Notamacropus eugenii: one gene and its partner. The protein of the gene in region 1 interacts with the protein of each later gene in a biochemical or structural test. Links are inferred from orthologs where the notes say so. Each region holds a gene or a part of one and is shown on either strand. Other genes may lie near its edges. The genes, in order: ARAF and GNA12.

Evidence for each region.
Region 2: the proteins of ARAF (region 1) and GNA12 form a complex in vitro, tested with the Homo sapiens proteins (2 studies listed by BioGRID). The link is inferred for Notamacropus eugenii from reciprocal best matches to the Homo sapiens genes ARAF and GNA12.

What each region holds. Positions count from the first base shown.
Region 1 is NC_092879.1:101,766,929-101,770,837, forward strand, and holds the start of ARAF (serine/threonine-protein kinase A-Raf), read left to right. Parts: upstream 1-1,116; 5' UTR 1,117-1,579; intron 1,580-3,490; 5' UTR 3,491-3,516; coding exon 3,517-3,657; intron 3,658-3,776; coding exon 3,777-3,880; intron 3,881-3,909. UniProt on the Homo sapiens protein: Involved in the transduction of mitogenic signals from the cell membrane to the nucleus. May also regulate the TOR signaling cascade. Phosphorylates PFKFB2.
Region 2 is NC_092874.1:385,309,842-385,313,750, forward strand, and holds the start of GNA12 (guanine nucleotide-binding protein subunit alpha-12), read left to right. Parts: upstream 1-1,408; 5' UTR 1,409-1,990; coding exon 1,991-2,311; intron 2,312-3,909. UniProt on the Homo sapiens protein: Guanine nucleotide-binding proteins (G proteins) are involved as modulators or transducers in various transmembrane signaling systems. Activates effector molecule RhoA by binding and activating RhoGEFs (ARHGEF12/LARG).

The DNA of each region.
Region 1 (3,909 bases):
TTTTAAAGTCTTTCCTAGGTTCTCAGTGATCTCCCAGCTCTGTCCTCCACCTGACAACAACAGGTCCTTGCCCCTCAGCCCCCACTAGCCTAGGCTCTCATTCTTAGTGGTACCCTAAGCCTTTCAAAGGGCATCAGGCATCTCATAAGTCTTTTTTTAGCCTGAAAATTATAGGGATGAGTAATGTTGCCTGGTCTGAGGGAATCCTGAGGCTAAGGCTCCCTTCTTCATTGACCTCTCCTTAGGGGTTCTTTGTAGTCAGTCCCCATTTTTCTTCTCTCTTTGGCTGAAAACTGACAGGAACGGATCTTGACTGGAGGTGATCAGGACACTAGACTTTTTTCCTCAGTGGTTTTCCAGATTTATCATTGAGTTTCAGTAATCGATTCACTTTCCTTGACTGGACTATGACAAAATGAAAAGCAGAGCTCAGCCTGAAGCTTTTATCATTGGTGAGCAGCCTCTCCTGAGCTGCCCCAGGTCTAACGCGTCTAGAGCTCTCTTCCTTGAGGATTTCAAAACTGTGTGTGTGTGTGTGTGTGTGTGTGTGTGTGTGTGTGTGTCTCTCTCTGTCTCTTCTCTCCTCTCCTCTCTTTGTGTGTGTCTCTCTGTCTCTGTCTCTCTATTTCTCTCCCTCCCTTCTCCCTCATTTCTCTCCTCGAACCAGTGCTGAGAAGGCTGGGTGACAGACAGAGCTTGCCCTCAGGTGACCTTATCTTCCCAGGGAAACCCATGGGGGGAGGGGGAGAGGGAGAGGGAGAGGGGAAGAGAGAGAGTCCGAAATGGACAACGGGAGAGGGGAGGGGGAAGGCAATAGGAATGACGGGAAGAGGCGGAATGGAGTGTTTGCTCTAGAATTCTTTCCTGGGACAGTCAGCTCACTCAAAAGCACTCATTCCGCCACATCCTTAACCCCCGAGGCGGGTTGCAGCCCCAAGCCTGCACCACCCAGTTCTCAGTCAACTCTTTGCCCCACCTTTCTCCTGGTCGGCTTAAAGAGCCACAACCAACACCAAGACCCAGGCAGCCAATGAGCTGTCTAAGAGACTGGAGAAAGCCAATGAGAGTGCACCAACGGAGAAGTGGGAGGAGGAAGAGGAACAAGACGCTCTGACCAATCATTGCAGGCCTAGAAGGGGTGGGGGGAGAAGTAGCCAATGGACACTCGACAGAGGTGGGGCTCCCAGGATTGAGAAGGTAGAGGGCGGGGCCTGACAACTATTGAACTGAGGGAAAACTGCTCCTGAAGTGACCGATGTGCACTCGGGAGAGGTGGGGCTCCGGGAGAGTGAGGGATTGAAAGGAAAGGGGTGAACTCCCTGAGTGGCCAATCAGTGTCATCTGCCTAAGGAGGAGAAAGCATCCGCCAATGAGCATGGAATTCTGGAGGAGCGGCGGCTCCTATAGTCAATGAGATTGTGGGTAGGGGCTTTGCTGGAGCTGAAGCGACCAATGGGATCTCGACGGGGGCAGGCCTGACGGAACAGGGGCCTTGAGGCGGCCGTGGCCGGTTCCACCCTCTGGGAGAGGAAAGATGGGCCCCAAGATGGAGGAGGCCACTGTGCCAGCACCGTGACAGGTAAGACGACGCCAGGCTGAAGCCACGGTGGCCGTTCTGTATTACTTCCTGTCTTATCCCGTGCCTCCCCCCTTCACGGAAAAAGAATGGAATCTCCCGTCGCTGGGAGGGGTAGCTGGACGCAACGCGCAAGCGCGAAGGGAAGGGGGAGGGGCACGGGATTTGGTTCCTTTAAACTATCTGGCTGCTGGCGCCTGCGCACAGAGTCCCTCCCGGGGTGGGGCTATTTCCCACCCCCTCTTCACCGTCGTCTCCCCCCCAAAATCTTTCCATTCCACCTACCCCTTCTACCCCTTGCCCCTTTTTGGCGCTTGGAAATCCCCACCCACACTCGGAAACTTCGTTTTCCCTAGTGATAAGAGCTTCCTGGTTATGGCTCTTGGAGATCCTCTGCTAACCCCAATATCTAGGTCCTGCGAAGAGTTTTCAGAAATTTTCGCCTCCCCTCATCTCAGCCGCGCCTCGGCCCCCCCCCCCCCCCCCCCCCCCCCCCCCCCCCGCAACAGTCCAAGTCCCTTCGAAATGAAGGCCCAGGGACACTGGGCGCACCTGTGGGTTGTCCCCACCCACCTGGAGTCTGGCAACCACTTGAGTAGCCACTGGCTCCCCATATAAGTACTCAGGCTCACAAGGCTGACCACAGAATCATGGAAATTTCCCAGAGAGTACATACACACACAGTCACCCATGCACAGGGACACGAGGGGCACACCACCCCCCCAATCCCAAATCTTTGACTTATGATATTCCCCTGGGTGGGGCTCCAGCCAATTATAATGTCAGGGTTTGCCCTTGCTAATCACTCTGATTTTTGCTTCCTGTAGCTCTGCTCAACAGGTGCTGGTTGTTTCTCCAAGGCCCACTCACTGTATACCATAGCTCCACCTCTGTGTTCCTTTGCTGATGTCCATAGTGCTGCCATTCGCTTCCCCAGGGGCCCAGCTCTAAACATTGATCCACATGGAGTGACCACTCTGAAGTCCCTGCCTTGTCCAACTGTGTTTACAGCTGAAAGCATGTGTGAAGAACAGTTAGGGGGTCACAGCTCCCCTGTACCTTTGCAAACCTTATTTGTATTCTCGAATCCTGTGCCCCTGCCTTGGCACAACAAAAGGGCTGTTGGGGTGCTGTGGAAATGTTCCCCTCCTTGCTTTGTTCAAACATGTCTCTATCTGCAGGTTCTGGTGACTCAGTATTGTTTACTTTCTTTCCTCCCCAGCACCCAGGCAGCAGCTCTACTGCTTGTTTCTGTGGCAGCCCCACTCCCACTTCAGAGTTGGCCCCGAAATCATTTAAGCTCCTTCACAAAAGATCCCTAAGGATTAGAATTAGGGCTGGAATTAGAGGGTAGGATGGATGGCACCAGCTGTTGGGGGCAGGAATCATAGTCTCCTATCCCATCATGCTTGGCCATCTGACAGTGCTTAGAAATTTCTATCTCCACCTTTGTCAACCTCTGTTATGGGAACTAAAGATTTCCTGATCCACACACACCCTGCCCCCCAAGAGTTCAATGTCTTCTGATCTTCCCCCGCCCCAAATAGTCTTATCCCCATAAATGGTAATGAGAGATCTTGAGCCATCCCAACATCATTGTCATTCTAATGGTGCTTGCACAGCATAGGGGTCATAGGGCTAAAGCTGAGAGGGAAGAAAAGTCATGTAATCCAACCTCATCATTTGACAAAGGAGGAAACTGAGGCGAGCAGAGGTGAAGTGACTTGTCCAAGTTTACCCAGCTAATACATGGCAGAGCCAGGATTTGAACCCAAGGCTTCCCACTCCAAACCCAGCACCCTTTCTGCTGCACCAGTGTCCAGCCCACCATCATCCTTGTCCCCTCAGTAAAGTATAGAGATCTATAGCCTAGCCCATCATCGTTTCCCAACAGTGTCTTTCCCCACCTTTCAGGTCACTTGAGTGTGGGGGGGGGCAAGATGAGACGAGGCCCGACTGCCACCCCTGTGGAACCCTCCAGGGGCTTAACCCTACCTGAAGATCCTGATGCTATCCCTTTCACCAGCAATAGGGTTGGGGGCACTGTGAAGGTCTATCTGCCCAACCAGCAGCGCACAGTGGTGAGCAAGCCATCTGGGAAAGATCAGGGGCCCTGCCCAGGGAAGGAAGAAACTCCTAATCTTGGGAGCTGGGACAAGGAGGGAAACTTGGGAAAAAGTAAATCACAAGCATCTGTTAGGTAACTGCGAGAGATGGGATGACCGTCTCCGACTCACTGGACAAGGCGCTGAAGGTGCGGGGACTGAACCAAGACTGCTGCGCTGTGTATCGCCTTGTGCAGGGGTGAGCTCCCTGTTTGTCCTCCCTTCTCC
Region 2 (3,909 bases), on another chromosome or scaffold:
AGATATTATGCAAGAAAATCTTTGAGCACAGTTTTGGTAGTGGACGAGCCTAGCTAAATTTGGATAGGCTCATTACTACAGAGACCACAGAGTGATAAATGTTTTTGTGGAAGGTTATTCTCTGCAAGGTAGAGGGATTAAAAAGGAATCATAGATGCTCTGAAGTGACATCAGTCATATCAATGATCAAATTCATGAACTACTTTTTAATTCACATTTGCCATTCCAAAAGATAATTGCTAAAGCCCTGTTTTAGTAATGATTGATTCAATGTAACAAACATTGTTTACTAGGTCCAAAACCTTGTGCTAGATCTGAGGGAAATACAAAGTATCCCAAAAGTCTTACTATGGTTTAACCACAGTACAAAGGTCCTTGCCTTTGCACAGCTTAAAGGAGAGGTTCTCATACCAAAGTGTTTAACAAGTTTCACTCTTCACTTAAGTGTAGTGTAAAGGTTACTGACCAAATCAGATTACCATGTGGCCTCAGTTACTAACTAGCCATGTAACTAAGTGGACATCTCAGTTTTCTCAGTCCATAAAATGGATACCCCTCATACAACATACCCCTCTGGAATTTTATGAAGAAAGTCTTTAGCATTTGAGCTATATAAATGCAAGGTATTATTTAAATTAAAAGGTTCTTGTGAAAAGCAAATAGCTTAATTTATTAATAGTCTATAACTGAGGGAGAACATGCTGAACAATTTTTTTTTTGCTTGCAGTGTAGTCAAAGGTTAATGTCTAAATTTGCTCATTGCTGTTTATTGTTTAAACCCGAATTCTTTTTTGTTTTTAACTTGACACATAGGACTTGACACATTGTCAGTGACTGGTTTAAAATGTACCACTCCCTTCTTCCCTGCATCTAGAGATACTCAATAAAGATGGCTTTAAAGAACTGAAGCTTTTTGTAAAGCCAGCGGGATGGTTTTCACGACGATCCGAAGTCATTTCTGGGAATTTTATAATATAGCCCAGTCCCCTTGATGCCGAAAGTCTAATGGTTCTTCTCCGTGACTCTGTAGCTCTCTAGACCTTTAGAGTACCCAGAAAACTGGGACCGTGTTCGGTACACCTGGCACTCCTAGTGCCACGCCCATCCAAAGGTTAAGATCCAATCCGAAGACAACCCAAGATGATTGGCTTGCTTAGGGAGCAATAGCAGCCTGCATCAGTGGGTGGCCGTTCCATCCCCCCGAGTCCCCGCCTCCCTTTCATTCTGAAAGAAAGGAGCTCTGCTGAGAAGTCCAATGGGAAGCGTAGAGTCCGAGAACGACGTCTTGAACCCCGCCTCCCATCCACCGCCCCTCCTCCCCGACCCCGCCCAAATAGGGCTCTGCAGCCTTCTGGAGGAACCACAGACCAATCGAATAGCGTTCTGTGTCAGATTGACAACATTCAGCCCAATCCCTTGGGCCAAAGCGAGGGCGACCCACGCCCCTGCATGTACCCCTCCATCCCTCCCCCCCATCTCCTACCCTCGGCGGGGGGTCGGAGCGGCTTGCTGGGAGCTAGTGTGGGCTTGGGAGCGGGCGGTGGCGACGACTGCCCCGGGTTCTGGGTACTGACTCGGGGACTCGAGTCCGAGTCTCCGCCCGCTAGGATTTGGAGGCCGCCAGCGGCCCGGCTTCGCCCCCGTCGGTCCCCCTACTCCGCCTGTCCGGGGGTCGCCTCCGCAGCTCCCCGCTAGCGGCCGCGCCCCTCGGCCGCCTCCGCCCCGGGCCGGAGGAGCGGCGCTCCCCTCCCCCTCGGCCGTGGAGCCGCCGCCCCCGGAGGGCGGGCTGGGGCTACTCCGATGGCCCCCGGCTCCTAGCCGGGGGAGGAGGGGGCTGGGCGCCTTCGGGATCCGGGCTCAGCGCGGCGGCGGCGGCGGCGGCGGCGGCGGATGCAGACGGCCGCGGGGGGGCCGTGAAGGGGCGGCCGCCGCCTCCCGCCCCCGCCGTGTTCGCTTCGCTCAGTCCGTGCTCTCCGCGGCCGGCGGGGCCATGTCCGGGGTAGTGAGGACCCTCAGCCGCTGCCTGCTGCCGGCCGAGGCCAGCGGGCGGGAGCGCCGGGGCGGCGGCGGCGGCGGCGGCGGCAGCAGCCGGGACTCGGAGCGGGAGGCCCGGCGGCGGAGCCGGGAGATCGACGCGCTGCTGGCCCGGGAGCGCCGGGCGGTGCGGCGCCTGGTGAAGATCCTGCTGCTGGGGGCCGGCGAGAGCGGCAAGTCCACCTTCCTGAAGCAGATGCGCATCATCCACGGCCGAGAGTTCGACCAGAAGGCGCTGCTCGAGTTCCGGGACACTATCTTCGAGAACATCCTCAAGGTGAGGGGCAGGGCGCCCCGCTGGGGGCGGGGAGGCGTTTGGGGGGGGGGGGCGAGGCTCGAGCATCGCCTTCCTTCCCCTCCCCTTGGGGGGCTCCGCCGATCTCTGGTGCCTACCTGGTGCAGGTGAGGAGACTGACCGCCCTCCAGGTGCGGGGCCGGGACGCAGTCCTGGGAGCGCTTGTGGTCGGGCCCGCGGCTACCTGGGGGTGAGAAAGTCTTAATCCGGTTCCCTAGTCCCCTGGCCAGGGACGGAGGGAGCAAATCAAGCATTTATTAAGCACCCACTCTTTGCTTTACCGCAACCCTGGCACGTATTAGGAGTTCCATCTTATAACTGAGGCAGAGTTTAAGTGGCTCCATCAGAGTCATCCAGCTAAGTGGATTTGAACTCATGACTTCACCGCCTTGCAGCCTCTGCGAGGTACTAGACTGGGTGTTGGATTTGGCGAAGGGTCAGCAGGACCCAGGTTCCAATATGGACCCTGGCACTGTTTAGAACTGGGGAGTTCCAGAAGCAAGTTTTAAGTTGTGTGACCATGGGCAATCCCCTTTTAACTTTTCTAAGCCCCATTGCCCTGATTGCTAAAATGGGGATAGGAATGTCTCAGACTTACCTCACTGAGTTCTTGTGGGGATCAAATGAAATAATGAGTAAGATGCTTTGCCAGCTTTAAAATGCTATCATAAATATAGTTTATTTATGTGCCATTTTTATCTATTTCCTGGCGTAGTGTCCAACAGATAGTAGGCACTTAAAAATGCTTAGTGAATTGCATTGAAATTGAGTTAAAAGTGCATACGGATATTTTTGTTTTCGTCCTGTATTTTTATAACTCAGACTCCCTTTTTTGCTGTCACCAAAAAGTAGTCTTTTCCTTTATCCTGATCATCTTTGGATATTGTAGGGTGGATGGTAAATTAGGCCCTCGTTGGTGCATTTGGTGTGTTGATCTTAGGGGTTGGAGAGACCATGACTGCACTTCTAAAGGAAAAACCACATTGGGAACTTGGAGTAGCAAACCACTGCATGTTGGCTGCTTACTTTAGAAAGTTGCTGTATGATGTCTGTGGTTTTCCCACTCCACCCTTTAGAGTCTTCAGTCAAAGCTGATGAGGAAGTTGTTCTTGCTTTTTTCAGGACTGTGCAATCAGAAGAAAAAGCCCCAAATATGTTTTAATGTTATCTAGTGTTAAAAAGGGTCACAGAGAACTTTGGGGAAGTCATTGAGTGGATGTAGAGCTGACCTTTCTCTACCTAGGTATAATTTTTGACTTACTCTTTCTCTCCTGGTTTTTAAGTGATCATATTTTCAGGCCTCAAAATTGGCTTTTTACTCATTGTGGAAATAAGGGGAAGGGAATGGGACCTGAGGACCCAGAGAAACATTGTGAAATTAGTTATTTCAGGGAACTAGCCTGCTGTCCTGGAGGCTATGGATTTTATCTTGCATTTAAGATTTTAGAACTGGAGATGTCTTTAGAGATTGTTTAAGTTTAATCTTCTCATTTCACAAATAAGGAAACTGAGGTCTAGGAAGATTGACCTTTTGAAGGTCGGTCTAAGTGGCACAGCCATGTGTAGAATAGGTCTCCTGA